Stegostoma tigrinum: one gene and its partner. The protein of the gene in region 1 purifies or fractionates together with the protein of each later gene. This does not show direct contact. Links are inferred from orthologs where the notes say so. Each region holds a gene or a part of one and is shown on either strand. Other genes may lie near its edges.

Region 1 (8,749 bases):
GAGAATTTTTCAGCAATTTTCCAGCATGAAAATATAAACTTATGATCAAATGTTGTTTGTCAATCTATAATTGTTTTATTCCTAGAACTGAGAAAACAGTCACTTAGTGTTACAAGTTGTAGCACAGTATCTGCAATAAATAGCAAGGCAGTCATTTTAGCAGCTCAAGAATCTTGTAATGGAATCATCTACATTGTGATTATTTTTGCTTAACCTCATTAGAAATCTTCACATCAATTCACACACTACATTAAATTTTATTTCTGAAATTTGCAAGAAACTCTGATATATGTTCACTGTCATTAGGTTATATAATCTCTAAAGAAATATAACTTAATTACAAGCTTAAAACAATCCTTGAGTATTTTGAGGGAGTTATTCTCAAACCATGCATCACAGTGTGTGTATTTACACAAATGAGCCCATTTAACAAAAGATGGGCCAAGTTCATTATCACTGCTGGACCTCAAACGTAAATGGTACATCTTCTCAGAAGCCTCTGTCAGTGCTACTTTGAATTAGAGAACAAGGAATATAGGAATCTTGGGTGCACGGGGAGTTCTGATCTCTGGTAAAGCCGTTGCTTTGGTATTAGAGGGGAGGTGCCCCAATAACAAGCACCACACTTGCCTTCATAAATTGTTTGAAAGCTCTTGCTTTGTTTCAGTAGGGATGCTTAATGTGTTTGGAACTACATAACTGTCCTGGGTCATTAAATTTACTAAGAGGGATGAGTAATTAACCAGCCCATGATAGTCAACGCTGTGGAGTAAGAGAAGTTAACCAAATATTATCAGGAACAACACTCAGATTATCACATGCAGTGAAAGCGTATCCAAGTCAAGATATTCCTACCACATCACTTTTCAAAGAAAAACAGTGTTCCTGCTTCCCAGAGAGAGGAAACTAAAATCTAAGCAAACATTAAATTTCATTTTTAGTACAATAAAATTGGAATGCCCCATCCAAGGTGTTCCATTATTGTAAAATGGGAAGTTTCAAAATCAAATCTTCTGACTGCTCTCCACAGTTAGTTAAGATACCTAACTTAGAGGATACATGTATTCAGTTAGCTATTCAGATTCACAAACTTAAAAGAAAAGGAGAGACTTTGAGAAAGTCAGCTTTAATTGTTAGGTGTTTTGAGTTGTCTGCTTATAGGATTTATAACTACTGTCTGAATTTTGCTATCAGTACCTTAAAACAGGCATAATTTCAAAATTAAGATCATCTTGCCCAAAAGGAATCTCATATAGTACATTGGGTATAAAATGGGTACATACAGCGGGAGAATTAAGAAATATGACGGAGGAAGAATCTTATTCTTGTCCAAATGAACAGTTTTTAAGCTTGGAGTAGCGAAGTAGCGAGTAGCGTGTAAAATTTGGAGTCATAAAAAACCTCCCTAATATGTAACGAGCGACATTGTGTGGAGAGGGAAGCAGAGAGAATGGACATAGCGACTGATCTATAACAGGGGGCGACATTCTCTCTCTCTCGCAGCCGCTCGAATTTGAGATGCGGGCAGTTTTTGATGGCTCGTCAACGCAATTCTTGACATACCAGTCTGGAAAGGGGACATTCCAGCGCCGTGGGATCACGGAGATGGAAACCGTTTAAAGAATAGTTAATGGGCACAGAGTTTTGCAAGCAATCAAACTCCAGTGCGGTGATCGAGGCGTTCAATTCGCCTCCGCGCTTAATCTTTGATGCGCCCCGAGAAGACAACACTTTGAACGCTCACAAATTCTGGCTGAAGAATTTTGGACCATCTCACCACGATCGCTTCCAGAATTCTTCGAAACGGTAATATAATCATTGCATGAAATGCGCCCACGCAGAGGTTTAACCATCATTATGATCAGTAAATAAACAGGGTGGAAATGCGGTGGATGGATGGTTTCCGAGACTTGAGGTGCAATTAAATTTTCGCACGGGTAAGTCCATTTCTCTTCTCTTCCCCTACAAACGTTTCAAGTCTCTGGAGTGGAAAAAAAGGGAAACCTCCGGAGGAGTAAGGAACTGGCATCTTCCCAATTTAGCTCTCCCCTCCCGCCGTGCCCGTAAATACCCCAACTGAACCGGAAAATTGAAAGGAATGTGCATTCCCCGATTTCAATGCTTTAGATTGGAAACTTAGACAACTGGAGCAACGCGACAGGCAGGAGGAGTGCTCTCGGCGGGCGACTTTTTTTTCCTTTTAAGATCCTGACCATTATAAAACATCAGTGGGTCAACCTGCCTTCACACCTGGAATGCCGAGAGAATGCGATTTAAACCAGCCGGGTCTGAGTTGTATAAAGGCAAACCACGTACTGACACCAGCCCCATTTGTTCAGCCTTCGGTCAGCGGTGTTCACAAAATCTAGTTGGAATATCAGTCTCCCAAACATCCCATTGGGTCGGGGATAAAACCCAACTGTTCCCTTGAAGGAGAAGGGCCAGGTTACTCAACCGATTATGGTTGAAGCCTGGAAGGTGTTTTAAGATGCTGCCTGGGTTCATCCAACAGTACTTGACAGTCCTAGACCTCAAATGTTCCTTACCTGAAGTATCCCAGAGACTCAGCTCTATCCTTTGTGTTTCTATTTCAAAGCTGGCTGTGTAATTTTCGAAGACCGTGGGCACATAGCTCTGGGCACAAAGAAAGTAGAAGACACAAAACATTTTGAAAACAGATGGCATAAGAAGAACGCAAAAAGCAAAAAAAAGAAAGTATTTAAAACAATTGCACGTGTTACATTCGTTTTGAAAAGGAACTGAAAGTTGTTAAATTGCGTAAAATGAATCCCAGCCGTTAAGAACGTTGATTCAGGGACACATGTTAAAAATTCATTCACAATGACAAAAGAAAAAAAATGCGTCGGGTTTTTGGAAAAATTATAACTCAAAAAGAAGCATTAGTCATTTCACATAGGCGTTCATTCAGATATAACAACATACCTCCGGGAAACAATCCTTGGCAAAAACGTGCAGCAGAGCGGTTTTTCCACATTGACTATCTCCCACCACAACTATTTTGCATTTCACGGTTTGATTATCCATTGCGTTTTTAGCAAGCTTCTGGCTTGGCCTTCTTTCCTTCATTGACGTAGATTTGGCGTGAGGGTTAAAAAAAAATCAAACACAAAATATCGCCGGATTGCAAAACGCTGGTGGCAAACAGCCGTTTAAAAGTAGACGGTGATGTGAGGAGCACTGACTTCTTCTCTGGGGGAAAAAAAAGCGGAGAGTCTTGCGGCTTATATTTATGTATCTATCCACCCGCCTCCCCAGCACTGGAAGCTCCAACCACAACTACTGCTGCTTTGGGTCCGTGCACCTTCTCATATAACATCTCCAAGTCCGTGGGGACCTCTGGGCCAGCCCCGTTCAGCAACATAGACTAAGGGTGGAGCTAGAATCAGGCTGAGGCTTAGTAGTCCAGAAGCGTAGTTTTCTCTATTCCAAGCCTGAAGCTCCGGACTACAACCCTCTCAATGAACGACGCCAATCAATCCCGCCTCTTCTCGTCGCTGATTGGGTCCTCGCTCACGCCATTGAGAGGACCAGAGACCGTGCCCGTTTCCTCCAAAGCCGATTGGCTCACCGCGTGATTGTGACGCACCCTGACGCGTTGCCATTGGCTACCTCCCTTGCCATTCGGAGGAGCCACCTTGCCCAGAATCAGTCAGTGTGCTGCCGGCAGTTCATTGCTTCCCACTGCTTACTGCAGGGAAAAGGGTCATATTCTCATAACCAACTATGTTGCAAGCGCAGAATTTCCCATTTTTTTCCCCATTGCTAACCAACCGAGCCCTATGATGCAGACCTCAGCTTCATGTGGTCACTTTTGGATTCCATCTGTATTACCATTCAGGTCCTACTCTTAACCCTTTCAGAGATTAAATATCGCTGCTTTGATTTAATTCCGAACATATCTTGTGGTGCAGTGGTAGCGTCCCTACTTCTGAGCCAGGAGGCTTGGATTCAAGTCACACCTGCTCCAAAGGTGTGCTATTACTTTTCGATTTATTATATCTGTCCTGATAGGAATCAAGGGTTATGCAGAAGAGTAGAACAAAGTACGTGCCTAATAAGGTCGAAATGACACAGATGCTATGAATAAAGTCATTACTGTGTGGATGTTGTAATTGTTTTCAGATCATCTTCGCAAAATTATTTCTAGCACAAGAAAGTTTAGACTTCTTGTGTGGAGTTATTCTAGCAAAAAGGGGGACTTGTTTACTTCTAATCATCCATTCTGCTTTATGTTCGATTATCTGGATTATCTGCAACACCAAGCTTCGCCTATTGGTCTCATCGTTCGGTCGTATCATTGGTGCGGAAGACTGAAAAAGATTCAGAAAGAAATAATTGTAAGTCTTTAAAAAAAATGCTAGGAATACATGGCAGTTCCCTCAACGTCTTAAAGTCAGGAGAAGTCAAATTCAGACTAAGCCTGTAACCCTGTTATTAAGGTGTACGTATGAGTCAAAATTGAAACAAGGAAACGTTATTTAACGAGTCGAAGGATGGAAACGCCACTACTGTACAACAACAGCGACAGAAATGATTTTTTTTCTGGATATGCTGCACGACAGCACCACGCTGAAAAAAAGGCAAGCAAAAAGTCCCCCGGTATTTTAATCTGACGCCCTCTTCAGTCTAAAATAAAATCTGTTCTGCAGCCGGAGAGTTGGACAGAGTAAATTGGATGCCCAGTTAACCTGTAGAACGAGGCGATGTGAGGATGGAGATCTTCACGAAATTTAACAATACAAAAATGGGTGAAGATATCTGGCTATAGCAACAGCCAGAAGTAGTGGTGGAAGAGAATTATTTGAGAGAAGGGCTGTGGCTGGAATTCACAACGGGAAAGGCACGACAAAGAAATGGCAGTAAAAGCTCAAAACGGAGGTCAGGAAGAGTGAGATCAAAGAGCCGGTGGTTTTACGCTGATATTAAAACAGAAATGTAGTACTGAGAACACCAGGGGTCAGGGAAATCCCCGCTGATAAACTCTGGGCGGGATCTATGGAACAATAAGGCTGCTCAGTAATCTATTTCGAGAAGGCGGGGAAAGGAACAAGTTTCTGTCTGTTTTCCATGACGGGAACATAAGCAAAGTTTAACCAGGATGTTTTTGGGATTCCACTTGACGGGCGGTTCCGTCATTAAATCTGTATCGGAAATACGCAGACCGTGAATATTACCAGCTCTGTTTCATTCATTTTAAATCGGAAGGTGCGTTCCCAGCGGCGACTCCTCGTCGGGAACAGGATTATTAGAAACAGATCATACAAGGGGTGGGTCACACGATATGTCCTGCTTCCCCTGTCCACCCTGAATCGTATGGAATGTCACTTTTGCAGTTATTTGTTCTCTCATATAACACCCCTGTATTTTCCGCAATACCTAACTCTTACAAATGTTTGGACTGAAAACGAGAACTAAAAAAAATCTTGCCTCAGCCTTGAATGCATTCCTAACGATCCCAACACTCGACAGTCAGTGAAATACTCCTGAAGCATAGTCATTGTGGTAAACGTAAGAAAGTGTGTTCTTAGTCTATTGCACAACAGAACTCCCACTAGCCAGCGATTATTTTGTTTGATTTTAGCTGAGGGGAAAAGAGCATTTCTCTGGAGAAGGTGGCAAGGAGGATAGGTCGCACGTTTAGGTGTAGTCTACCATAGCAGGGATTTTGTCATGGTCCCACCCCTCATCAGTACACTATACCGCACCATTTAGTAAGGACGTAAAGCCACTGGGGAAGATGCAGAAAAGATTTGCAAGAGTGGATTTATGGTTGCGGATCTTCAGTTTTGTGGATACGTTGGAGAAACTGGGACTGTTCTCCTTGGGTAAAGGCCGGGTGAGGGGAAATTTGATAAAATTTAAAATCTTGAGGATTCTGAACAGAGTAGATGCAGAGAAAGAACTCTTTCTAGGATCTGGATCCGCAATGAACAGCTTTAAGATGATTGGACATAACAGCGACACAAGGCAAAACTTTCCTATCCACCTAGTGATGTGGGGACTGTGATGTTTCCACATTACCAATGCCAGAGGTTGTGGTGGTGTTAATATTTGTATAGCAACAGGAAAAATGCAGGAGAGTTCGATTAGCTGAGTTGCTCCTGCAGAGACCTGGCACAGACAAGATGGGCTGAATGACCTATTTATGACATGTCAAGTGGATCCAAACTAGGCTCAGTGCTAAGAAACAAAGGATTGTGCTGAACTGACACTTCTGTGAATGGAAGGCCGTGACTAATAGGTTTCCATAGGGGTCAGTAGGGGGTGCCATGCTGTTCGTGGTATATTCCAATGATTTAGCTTTAATCGGGCGTGGGGATTGTGGAAAGAAGTGAGGGAGGAATCATGATTAAGAAGTTTACGCACGATAAATACAAAAAAAGACATACAGCTCTTGTTCACAATAGTACAGAAATGACTTGATGACACTAAAGCGTACAGAAGAGTTTTATGAGGTTATTACCAGGAAAATAGAATTTTACTGTGGAGAAAGATTGGATGGTTTGGGTCTGTATGAGAGGCTGAAGGGAGCTATAACTACGATGTAGAAAATTATGGCAGAGTCGCTCAAGAGAACCTATTTCCATTAGCTGAGAATTGATCATTGAACACTTTCTTTTAAAGGTAGAACAGCGAATGAGTAGTTGAGGATTTTTTTTTCATTTAGAGGATAGTGGGTCTCTGAAATTCACTATCTGGAGTGATGATAGAGATGGAAATCTTTAGTACGTTGAAAAAAATACTTGGCTATGGACTTGTACCATTATACACTGAGTTGTTAGCCATGAGCTGAAAAGTGGGAAAAGACTGGATAACTCTTACAACCGGCAAAGATATGAAGGACAAATGTACATTATTAAATATACAAATGAATTAAGACCAGAAATAGTCCACTCAGCACATTGAGCCTGCTACACCATTCATTAAATCATGGCTAGCCTGAATACTTATTATTACTTGCAATAACCTTTCACCCCATTGCTTGTCAAGAATCTATCTACCCCCAGCACGAAAAATATTCAAAGACACTACTTCCACTGCTAACTAAGGAAATGAGATCCGTATATTTCTGGCAGTATTTGAAAAAAAAGGTTTCCATATCTCAGTATTAATTGAACCTTATTTTGAAATAGTTATATCAAATTCTAGATTCTCCCAAGAAGAAACATCCTTTCCATCTGTACTCTATCAAGACTCCCCAGGCTCTTACAAGTTTCAATTGATTCATCTCTTATTCTTCTCGACTCCAGCTGATACAAGCCAATCCTGTCCAAACTGTTCTTATTAGACAATTTACTAATTCCAGGTCTTAGTCTGGTAAATCTTTGCTGGACTATTTCCAATGCAATTGCTTTCATCCTTAAACGAGGAGACTAATAGTATATACAGTAGCCGAGATCTGGTATCACCATGCCATGTACAACCAAAGTAATGCCTCCCTACTTTTGTCATCAATTCCCCTTGCAATATGCATTAACCATTATTAATTACTTGCAGTACATGCATACTAGCTTTTTGTAATTAATGTAGTAGGAGAACCAGATTCCTCTGCGTCTCCGGTCTCTGTAATTGATGCTTTGTTTTTTTTAAAATCCTTCCTGCAGAAATGCACAGTTGCACATGGGAAAACATTATACCCAATTTGCCCAATTTTTGCCCACGCGCTCAATTTATCTATATCCTCTTGTAGTTTCCTTATGTCTTCTTCTCAACTTATTTTCTTACCTGTCTCTGGACCATCAGCAGATTGAGCAATCATGCTTTTCCTGTCCCTTTATCCAACTCATTTACATAATGTATAAAAATTTGAGGCCCTATCACTGACCCCCTATGGCATACTAGTCATTACATCTTACTGCCAGTAAATTACCAATTTATGCATGTTCTTTGCTACCTGTTAGCTAGCTAAACTTCTATCCATGCCAATATGTTGTAACACATGCCTAAAGCTTTACATTTTGTAATGACCTTTGATTTGGCACCTTATCAAATTCCTTCTGGAAATTGAAGCATGGTGCATCCCCTTTATCCATACCTCAAAGAACACCAATTACTTGGTTAATTATGAATTCTACTTCATGAAACTGTATTAACTCTGAACGATCAGCCACCTGGGATTTCTGACTAAAAATTGCTGTAAATGTTTCAGCATTATCTTTTGCACTGATGTGTTGGGCTCACCCTTCGTTAAGGATGAGGATATTTGTGGAGTTTTCTCCACCAGTGAGTTGTTTAATTGTCCATCACCGTTCACGACTGGAGGCAGGACTGGCTCGATGTTCAAATCATTGATATATTGTGAGCAACTGGGCCCTAGTATAGATCTTTGCTCTACTTGTCTAGTCAGTCACAGTGTGTAATTATGAGAAGAACACTTGTTTTCGTACTCACTGTTTTCTGTCTGTTGATTAATCAGCAATCCATGCCAGCACATTACCTCCTATCCCATGTGCTCTAACTTTACTAAGCAACTTCCTGTACCCCCAGTGTTCTTTATCATAATCCTTCTGAAAATCTGTGCACATTATATTAATAAGAGGCCTTGTGCACTGCGGTTGCATTTCTACCTCTAAGCTGGAAGGTTCAAGCCCTGTCATTGGAAATGTGTCACAACATGTCTGAACATGTTGATTCAAAATACCTACTGTGTTCAGTGACTCTCACTTTTCAATTCTGTTAGTAATATTCTCAAAAACTCCAATAAATTTGTTGAATATGAATTTCCATT
Region 2 (7,975 bases), on another chromosome or scaffold:
TCCCCCTCTCTGATGTAGGCCCGAAACGTCGGCTTTTGTGCTCCTGAGATGATGCTTGGCCTGCTGTGTTCATCCAGCTGCACACTTTGTTACCCTGATTTTGCTGTTGTTTTCCAATTGCTGCAATTCTCTTGGCTTGTTGGAAAGCTTGGATTTGTGGTGATGTAAGTGTTATTGATTGAGTTTAGATTAGATTCCCCACAGTGTGGAAACAGGCCCTCCGGCCCAACAAGTCCACACCGCCACTTGAAGCATCCCACCCAGACCCATCCCCCTATAACTGACACACGCCTGAACATTACGGGCAATTTAGCATGGCCGATCCACCTAGCCTGCACATCTTTGGACTGTGGGAGGAAACCGGAGCACCCGGAGGGAACCCATGCAGACACTGGGAAAACAGGGAAAATGTGCAAACTCCACACAGACAGTCACCTGAGGCTGGAATCAAACCCAGGTCCCTGGTGCTGTGAGGCTGCAGAACTAACCATTGAGCCACAGTGCCGCCCCTAAGCCATCGGTGAATTTAACATTTTCCCAATCAATAGAAACCTTCAGTTTTTCAGACCTTGATGGAAAATGGTCAAAAAGCATAGCATATTTATTCAAATGTAGCAGTAATATAGGAAATATTGAAATTGCAATAACTTCAAAACTTGTTCTGTTATGCTGTGAAAAATTATAACATTTTTCCCAGCATTACCTAAAGAACAGATACTCAAACTGGGTTTTTTAGGTTCAGTGGGTGCTGGTTCCCATAAATACCAAAACATGCATTCCAAAGACATTGACACTCACTGGGGTATGGGTCTCATGAGCTCACTGTCTGGATTTCAGCATCCACACACACTGTCGCTTGCTGGAGTATGAATCCTGCAGGCACTTGTTTCAGCTGAGGTATTGGTTTCACAGGTATTGGCTCACGTGGATGTGGGTTCCATGGTTGTCAGCTGTCATGGACAACATTTCACGTGCAGTTGAACAAATTTGCTGTTTGTACAATTGCTTTACTAACAACGAGCTTACCGAAAGACCAAATTTTCCACATTGAAATTTAAAATCTGGATCCATTCCATCAACCCTTACTAACTGAAGCAGGCTTTCATAATTGGCGAGTGGCCTGGCCTTGCTGGGAGCAGGGATGAAAGAGTAGTGAATGTCAGTCAGACTCAGAATCTTGTCTCCCTTTGGGAGTGATTTACATCTTGAAGCTGATTATTGGATAGGTGTTAACTGTGGCCCCGTTGTAGCAATTCTGTCAATATTTAATGTTGAGATCATGCTAGGCCTCCTAAGGAAAGAAATCTGACTACACAATGCAGTCATCTGTTATGTGCTACGCCTAATGTTCCCTCTGAAGAATGGTATGCTGAAGAAATACATTCTGCGATATAGAAATGTGCTTCTCGTTCCTTCAGCCAGTCCACTGCCTTCACACCTGCTCATTGCACCAGAAACAAGGAACTGCTAGAAATCCCCCTTTTAACTATGTGTTTCTATGATCAAAGGCTAGCATCTGGGACTGGTGGGAGATGCCAGCCTGACCTGGGCAGCACCTTCAAGTACCTGCACAGTGTTGAAGCCAAGATATTTTCCTGGTTGAGGTAAGAGGGTGACAACCAATGGTTGATACAGTGTGGAGAGCCTCCATGTTGATAAAGTTGCTCAAGGTTTTGAAGAGGGGAAAGACATGTGGTTCTGAAGAAGGGTCACCGGACCTGAAATGTTAACTCTGTTTTCTCCTCCACAGATGCTGCCAGACCTACTGAGCTTTTCCAGCAACTTTGTTTTTGTTCCTGATTTACAGCATCCGCAATTCTTTTGGTTTTTGTCAAAGGCTTCTGAATCTTACTTGGCAAGTAGCTACCTCCCAATTTCAATTTGCCTTCTTTAATGGCATTACCTATGACTTAATGTCGCTCCTGTGAGCCATGAACTCAGGCTGGATTGCCTCAGTAAACACAGCAATGGCGGCCTCTCTGTTACACTCTCCTTTTCCACTTGTCACCTCCATGGGAAAGGAGAAAGAAGTTCAATGCAGCTCCTGAAGCCAGAAAGCAGCTCCTCTGCGTCATGAGTTTTGTTCTTATTTTATTGTCGAGTACAAATGCTTAGTTGTGGAAGTTGAAAGCAAAAAAAAGACCAGGTCAGCCCTGAAATGGATACTAAATTTTGGTGCACTTGCAATACACATAGTACTGTAATAATTGCATTAAATTGAAAAGCAAGGTGGTGGCTGATGTTGTTATTCAGGAATGTTGCCTTTTATTAAATAAATCTGCACCCAAACTAATGTATAAGAATGCACTTTAAACATAGGACATCTATAACAAAGGAAAAGTTTGACTAGACGTTTCTACCCCAATCACATTCTGCCAATTACAGTCCCTGATCATTATCCTGCCTCTCTGCTTCCTGCTGCTTAGCTAGTCTTTTAGAATAGAAACTAAGACAATCGGAGGCTCACTGATGATGTTACCTAGAATGGTGACGAATCGTCTGAAAACTAACCTTCCAGCTCAGCGAGCAAACTCACATCCAGAAACTCAACCTGAGCTATAAATCTTCTCAAAAATCGCTAGAAACAAAGAACTGGAGAAATTCAGCAAGTCTGGCAACATCAATGGAGAGAAAGACAGTTAATGTTTTCAGTCTGATTTGATTTCTCCAGAGCTGAACGGAACTGGAGAGTGATTGTTTTTATGTTGCTGACAAAGATGGAGGTTGCGTAGTTGGAACAAATTGCGAGGGAGCCCAGAGTGAAAGACAAGAGGGGTGCTAATGTTGGTGATGGAGATGTAAAACAGGTATAAATGAATGTGATTAAAGGAGAAAATGGGTCCAGTCTATTGAGACAAATGTCAGCATTACAGGATACATTGGCAGTATGTAAGAAAAATAGAGACAGAGGTCATGCTCCAAAGTTGTGGAATTCGGTGTTGAGTCCTGAAGGCTGTGAATTACCCAAGTGGAAAATGAGGTGTTCGGATAGCTTGTATTCAGTTTTGTTGGAGGCCCCACTCAGAAAAGTTGGCATGGGAGCAAGGTGCTTTATCGCAGTGACAAACAACAGGAAGGCCAGAGTTGGTCTGACAGACAAGAGGGGAGGTATTTCACCAAGCGATAACTACCATCTGGTCTTTGCAAATGCATTCATCCTAAAGTGAATATTTTCATTATTCATATATCAGTGTTACTGCAGCGACAGTCCCTCGTTCTAATTGGATTCCCAGTTTTAACATTCAGTTACCTATTTCAGGACAATCTTCTGAGCTCCACTGATTTTTGTTTGTTTTTGTGGTTTGACCATGGGTTGAGGGAGGGAGTAAGTGTGACCACTCAATGCTGACCACTAACTCCTGCTGGAAAGTTGATGGGTAGAATTGTACTGTGTGTGATGATTTCTGGTCAAGTTTCCTGTTGATGCATATCATCTGTGGTCACAGCTGATGAATGGCATGGTGAGATGTCAGGGGGAGAAGAAATGTGACAAAGAAACTTCAGGAGTCAGCATTTTCAGGAGGGGAAATGACTTAAACCCCAGCGAGATTCCATACCTTCAAGAGAGCAGGGGTATGAACTACTGTGAGAGCTGGCACCTTCAGGAGAAGAGGGAGGTACTGAATCTTGTGTAGACCAACACCTTCTGGTTAGGAAGCTCTTGAACACATCTGAGAGTCAGTGCCTTCATGAGGGCAGGGAACCTTAATCCCAGTGAAGAGAGTGGAGTAAACACTTTATTTGTGCTGTGAATTTTCCCAGTAGAATCCAGCACTGAGCTGTACTCGTTTGTGGGGTCCCCAATGACTGTAAGTTGCTTCACTATGCTGATCGTTGCTTTTCTTTGGTTCATTGTATGGGATAGATCCAACCAGGAACCCCTTCACTCCACCCTCAGTGAAATCCTGGCTCGCGATTCAAACCAGCTCAACGATTTAGCTTCCTTTTAGCCTTTTTGCAGATGTAATGAGGTACAATCCACAGGAAACTCTTTGTTAAAGCACACTTTACAAAAACAGGAGTCTTGGACATGTCTTTTAAAGTTACAGTTTTTTGAAAAAATATACCTAACAGTTTGATTTAGGAATGAACTGGTGAAATTGTTTTTACTTTTATTTAATTGGAAAATTTTGGAGAAAATTGTTGAGCTTTAGAACCCAATGCCGGATTATCTCCTGGAAACCTTTGTGCTGCCTTTTTAAGAGACAGAAAGCTTCAGCCGATTTAATTATCTCCATATGTTGATCCTGGCTGTTGCAGAAGGACTTGGCACAAGAATCGGACTGCACAGTGGCAGAAAATAAATATGGGCACCGCATGTTTGTGGCTGGGGAGAAAATTCCATCTCTGAAATATTTGGGCTGCTTCAGACAGATCCTGTAAAGGTAAACATATTGGAGAGGAAATTAATCTGCAGTCTAGTCAGAGGAACAGGACGCGGCAGTGGTATACGAAACAGAGACAAACTTTCAGGGTCTGCACAGCGAGACAGTGCTCAGGCTGCAGAATGGTACTACCGTATTGTGAAGAACTCTTGCTGCTATGGTGATGGGCATCATGTGGGTGATGCTGAAGAAATCGAACTTTGTGAATGTTGGTCAGATATTGGAGGGTTTGGCTTCAGTGAAACTGTCTGAGTGAGTCAAGTTAAAAAAAGAATAGCCAAAAGGGGAGCAACAGAGAAAAAGGGAGGGACGGAGGGAAAGAAAGGGTGAGAAGAGAAAAGGGAGTGGCATAAAGGGAAAAGGAACGACAGAAAGGAAGCAATGCAGTGAAAGAAAAAAGTACAGTGAGAAGAAGATGCAGAAGAAAAGAGAGGCAGTGAAGGAAAACGAAAGAAACGGGGTAAAAGGTGGATTATGAGAGAAAAACGTTGAACAGTGAAAACCGAATAAAGACAGAGGAAAGCAAAAAGAGATTTTAAAGAAAGGATGAATGAGAGTGATACTCAGGTCTGCTAGAAAGGAGCAAAATGAGAGTGGGAAGGGAGACCACCAAAATGAGACAGGCACCAAATAAGGAAGACTGACAGCAATACAGGCAAGATTGAGTGAAATGGAAGATAACGAAATATACTGACCCTGGGAATTTGATGAGAAGAATTTAGTCCCTCCTGTTGAAGCTTGTGGATATTTTTAGGTTGATGTGTGGAGAGAAAGTTACTCTAAAGCTGCCTGTCCAGCAGTTGTTTGGAGCTCAGCATTTGACTTAAGGTGGCATTGTCTGCAGGGCTGACCATGAACTCTGTCCTTTATAAATACGGATCCCCACCTCGAAACTGGTTTAACCTGCGCCTCAGAATGCAGCCAAGTAAGTACTCTGATTAACCCCTAATAATGGGCCAGTGACTTCAGAGGGTGCAATTGGGAAAAATGAAATTATTTTATTAAACACATTGCTTTGATAGAAATTTTCAGCGCAAACTTTCAACTTAAATTGGAGATATGTTTGCAAAGAAGAAATTTCCAAGGCAATGAACATGGTGTGGGACTAACTGGATAGCTCTTTCAAAGAACCAGGCACAGGCTTCATCCTGTGATGTAAAACTCTGAGAATTTAAACTTGCCTAAGTATTACTGCAATTATAATCAAGCGTTCAATAGCAGTTTGTTTGTTCATTCATTATTGTTGGCCATTAAAATTATTAAACTTAACCTTTCTGTCAAGGAAGCTACTGATGAGGTCCCTGTGATGGCAGTGTGCTTTGTTTTAGTTGCTAAAGGAGCCATATCAGTTGCAACCATGAACTATTCAGATTAGAATAATTGTTGAACATGTGTTATACATCTTTATGTAAGATTTATACTTAACATTAAACTTCTGGAACCAGCTGGTTTTAAAATTTTGTCTCCTCCAATCCAGAAGGAGCTGGCTTTCACTGTGATTTGACTCCATTCTTCTCTTGAAGATGTTGAATCTCACTTCTGTTCCCTTTGAGCTCCCATCCCCACTGCCAGCCTCTTCCCCCACCTTGGAAAACAGAACAGTCTCAGATGCGCTGCCTTCCAAAGTCAAATTCCCTGATCAATTTGCTTTACTGGGATGGCATTCCAAGAATGATCAGTACCTATAAAACCCGCAACCCAACAATGATCAGTACAGAGTATAAAATGTGAGGCTGGATGAACACAGCCAGGCCCAGCAGCATCTCAGGAGCACAAAAGCTGACGCTTCAGGCCTAGACCCTTCCTGTTCATCCAGCCTCACATTTTATTATCCTGGATTCTCCAGCATCTGCAGTTCCCATTATCAATGATCAATACAGAGATGGTGGGGGAAATCAATGGATTAATGAGATATTAAACAGGGAGTAGATGACGAGACAGAAAATCAGGAGCATAATCCATACAGTTTTTCTCTGTGAATCATTTCTTGAGCTGTTTTTACAGATAACACAATCTAAAAGCCAAATACTGTGAATGCAGGAAATCTGAAATAAACAAAATGCTAGAAATGTTCAGCAGGTCCGGCAGCATCTGAGGAGAGGGAAACAGGGCTAATGTTGACAGTAATGATCTGGGATATTAGAACATAGAACATTACAGCACAGTACAGGCCCTTCAGCCCTCGATGCTGCACCGACCTGTGAAACCAATCTGAAGCCCATCTAACCTACACTATTCCATTATCATCCATATGCTTATCCAATGACCATTTAAAGGCCCTTGAAGTTGGCGAGTCTACTACTGTTGCAGGCAGGGTATTTGAAGCCCTTACTACTCTCTGAGTAAAGAATCTACCTCTGACATCTGTCCTCTATTAACTCTATTTTCTGTTGTCACAAATGTCACCTGATCTAGGTATTTTTCATTTTTTAATCTGTCATTCAGTATTGTTCATAGAAGCCTCTTAACAAACCAGAAGTCTAGCCACAGTTACTAATTTTAGTATAAAACTTCTCAGATATTTTAATCAACCTGCTCAGGAATGTTACGACACATCTCTGGAGCGGGTGGGACTCGAATCTGGGCCTCCTGGCTCAGAGGTGGAGATACTACCACTGCACTACCAGACCCCTTATCTAAAGCTGTCTAGCTCACAACACAGGTAAGCGTATGTCACATGTGGATATTTACTTCCACACTTGCCACCCATTCATAACCAAGGAACTAAAACACTTAATGAACAACACTACTCACGCAGCACTACTTTTGTTTTACCATTTCACCATAAATTGCTAGAAAGTTTAAAGTTCACAAATGTGCATTTCACAAGATACGATCATCGAGATCATGGGCTCAACAAAGTGGCCAATTACTAATTTACTAATCAGAAATGCAATTATCCACATCTGGAGTCTGAATTAGTCAGTTGTGGCTCACTTATTGGACAACACTGCTGTATTTTCCAGCCAGGACATTCTCCTTCCTGTTTTCGGAAAAAGGGGAGAAGCCATTTGGAAAGGAGAGTTTCCCGGCGGTCTATACGGAACGTGCTGTTGGCTGCTATGGAACCATACTCCCCTTAACATTCTGTCCATGACTTTTCCTGCATTGAAATAGGACACCCAACTGAAGGAATAACACTCGATGATTTGCAACAAATATTTTATTTGAATGGCCTGTTAGCAGTAAATTTCATTTCCGTTTAACCTGCTCTGGGACCTGCGGAACTGCATCCAGTTTTGGGCACGACAACTAAAGAATAATATATTGATTTTGGAGACAGTACAACACAGATTCCCCAGAACAATATCAGGGCTCAGCGATCACAGGTTGCATAAACTTCCCTCTTATTCACATGAGTTTAAAAATTCAAAGGGGGATCCAATTGGGACATTTTGAATGAAAAGGAATTTAATTAGTTTGAAATAGAGGGAAAAAAATCCTTGCTGGGGTAACCTAGAACAAGGGGACACAACCTAGCCATATAGGATCAAATTAAGGTAGCACTTCTTCACATAAAAGTTCATAGAAATCTGGAACGGTCTCCTTTAAATGACTGGATGCTGAGGATCAATTGGGATTTTTCAGAT

Evidence for each region.
Region 2: the proteins of rnd3b (region 1) and pleckstrin homology domain-containing family G member 5 purify together in Homo sapiens (affinity purification with western blotting; 3 studies listed by BioGRID and IntAct, with this or other methods). This does not show direct contact. The link is inferred for Stegostoma tigrinum from reciprocal best matches to the Homo sapiens genes RND3 and PLEKHG5.

What each region holds. Positions count from the first base shown.
Region 1 is NC_081360.1:85,776,102-85,784,850, forward strand, and holds the start of rnd3b (rho family GTPase 3b), read right to left. Parts: upstream 3,479-8,749; 5' UTR 3,088-3,478; coding exon 2,944-3,087; intron 2,635-2,943; coding exon 2,547-2,634; intron 1-2,546. UniProt on the Homo sapiens protein: Binds GTP but lacks intrinsic GTPase activity and is resistant to Rho-specific GTPase-activating proteins.
Region 2 is NC_081381.1:27,694,198-27,702,172, forward strand, and holds the start of pleckstrin homology domain-containing family G member 5, read left to right. Parts: upstream 1-4,724; 5' UTR 4,725-5,237; coding exon 5,238-5,310; intron 5,311-7,975. UniProt on the Homo sapiens protein: Functions as a guanine exchange factor (GEF) for RAB26 and thus regulates autophagy of synaptic vesicles in axon terminal of motoneurons. Involved in the control of neuronal cell differentiation.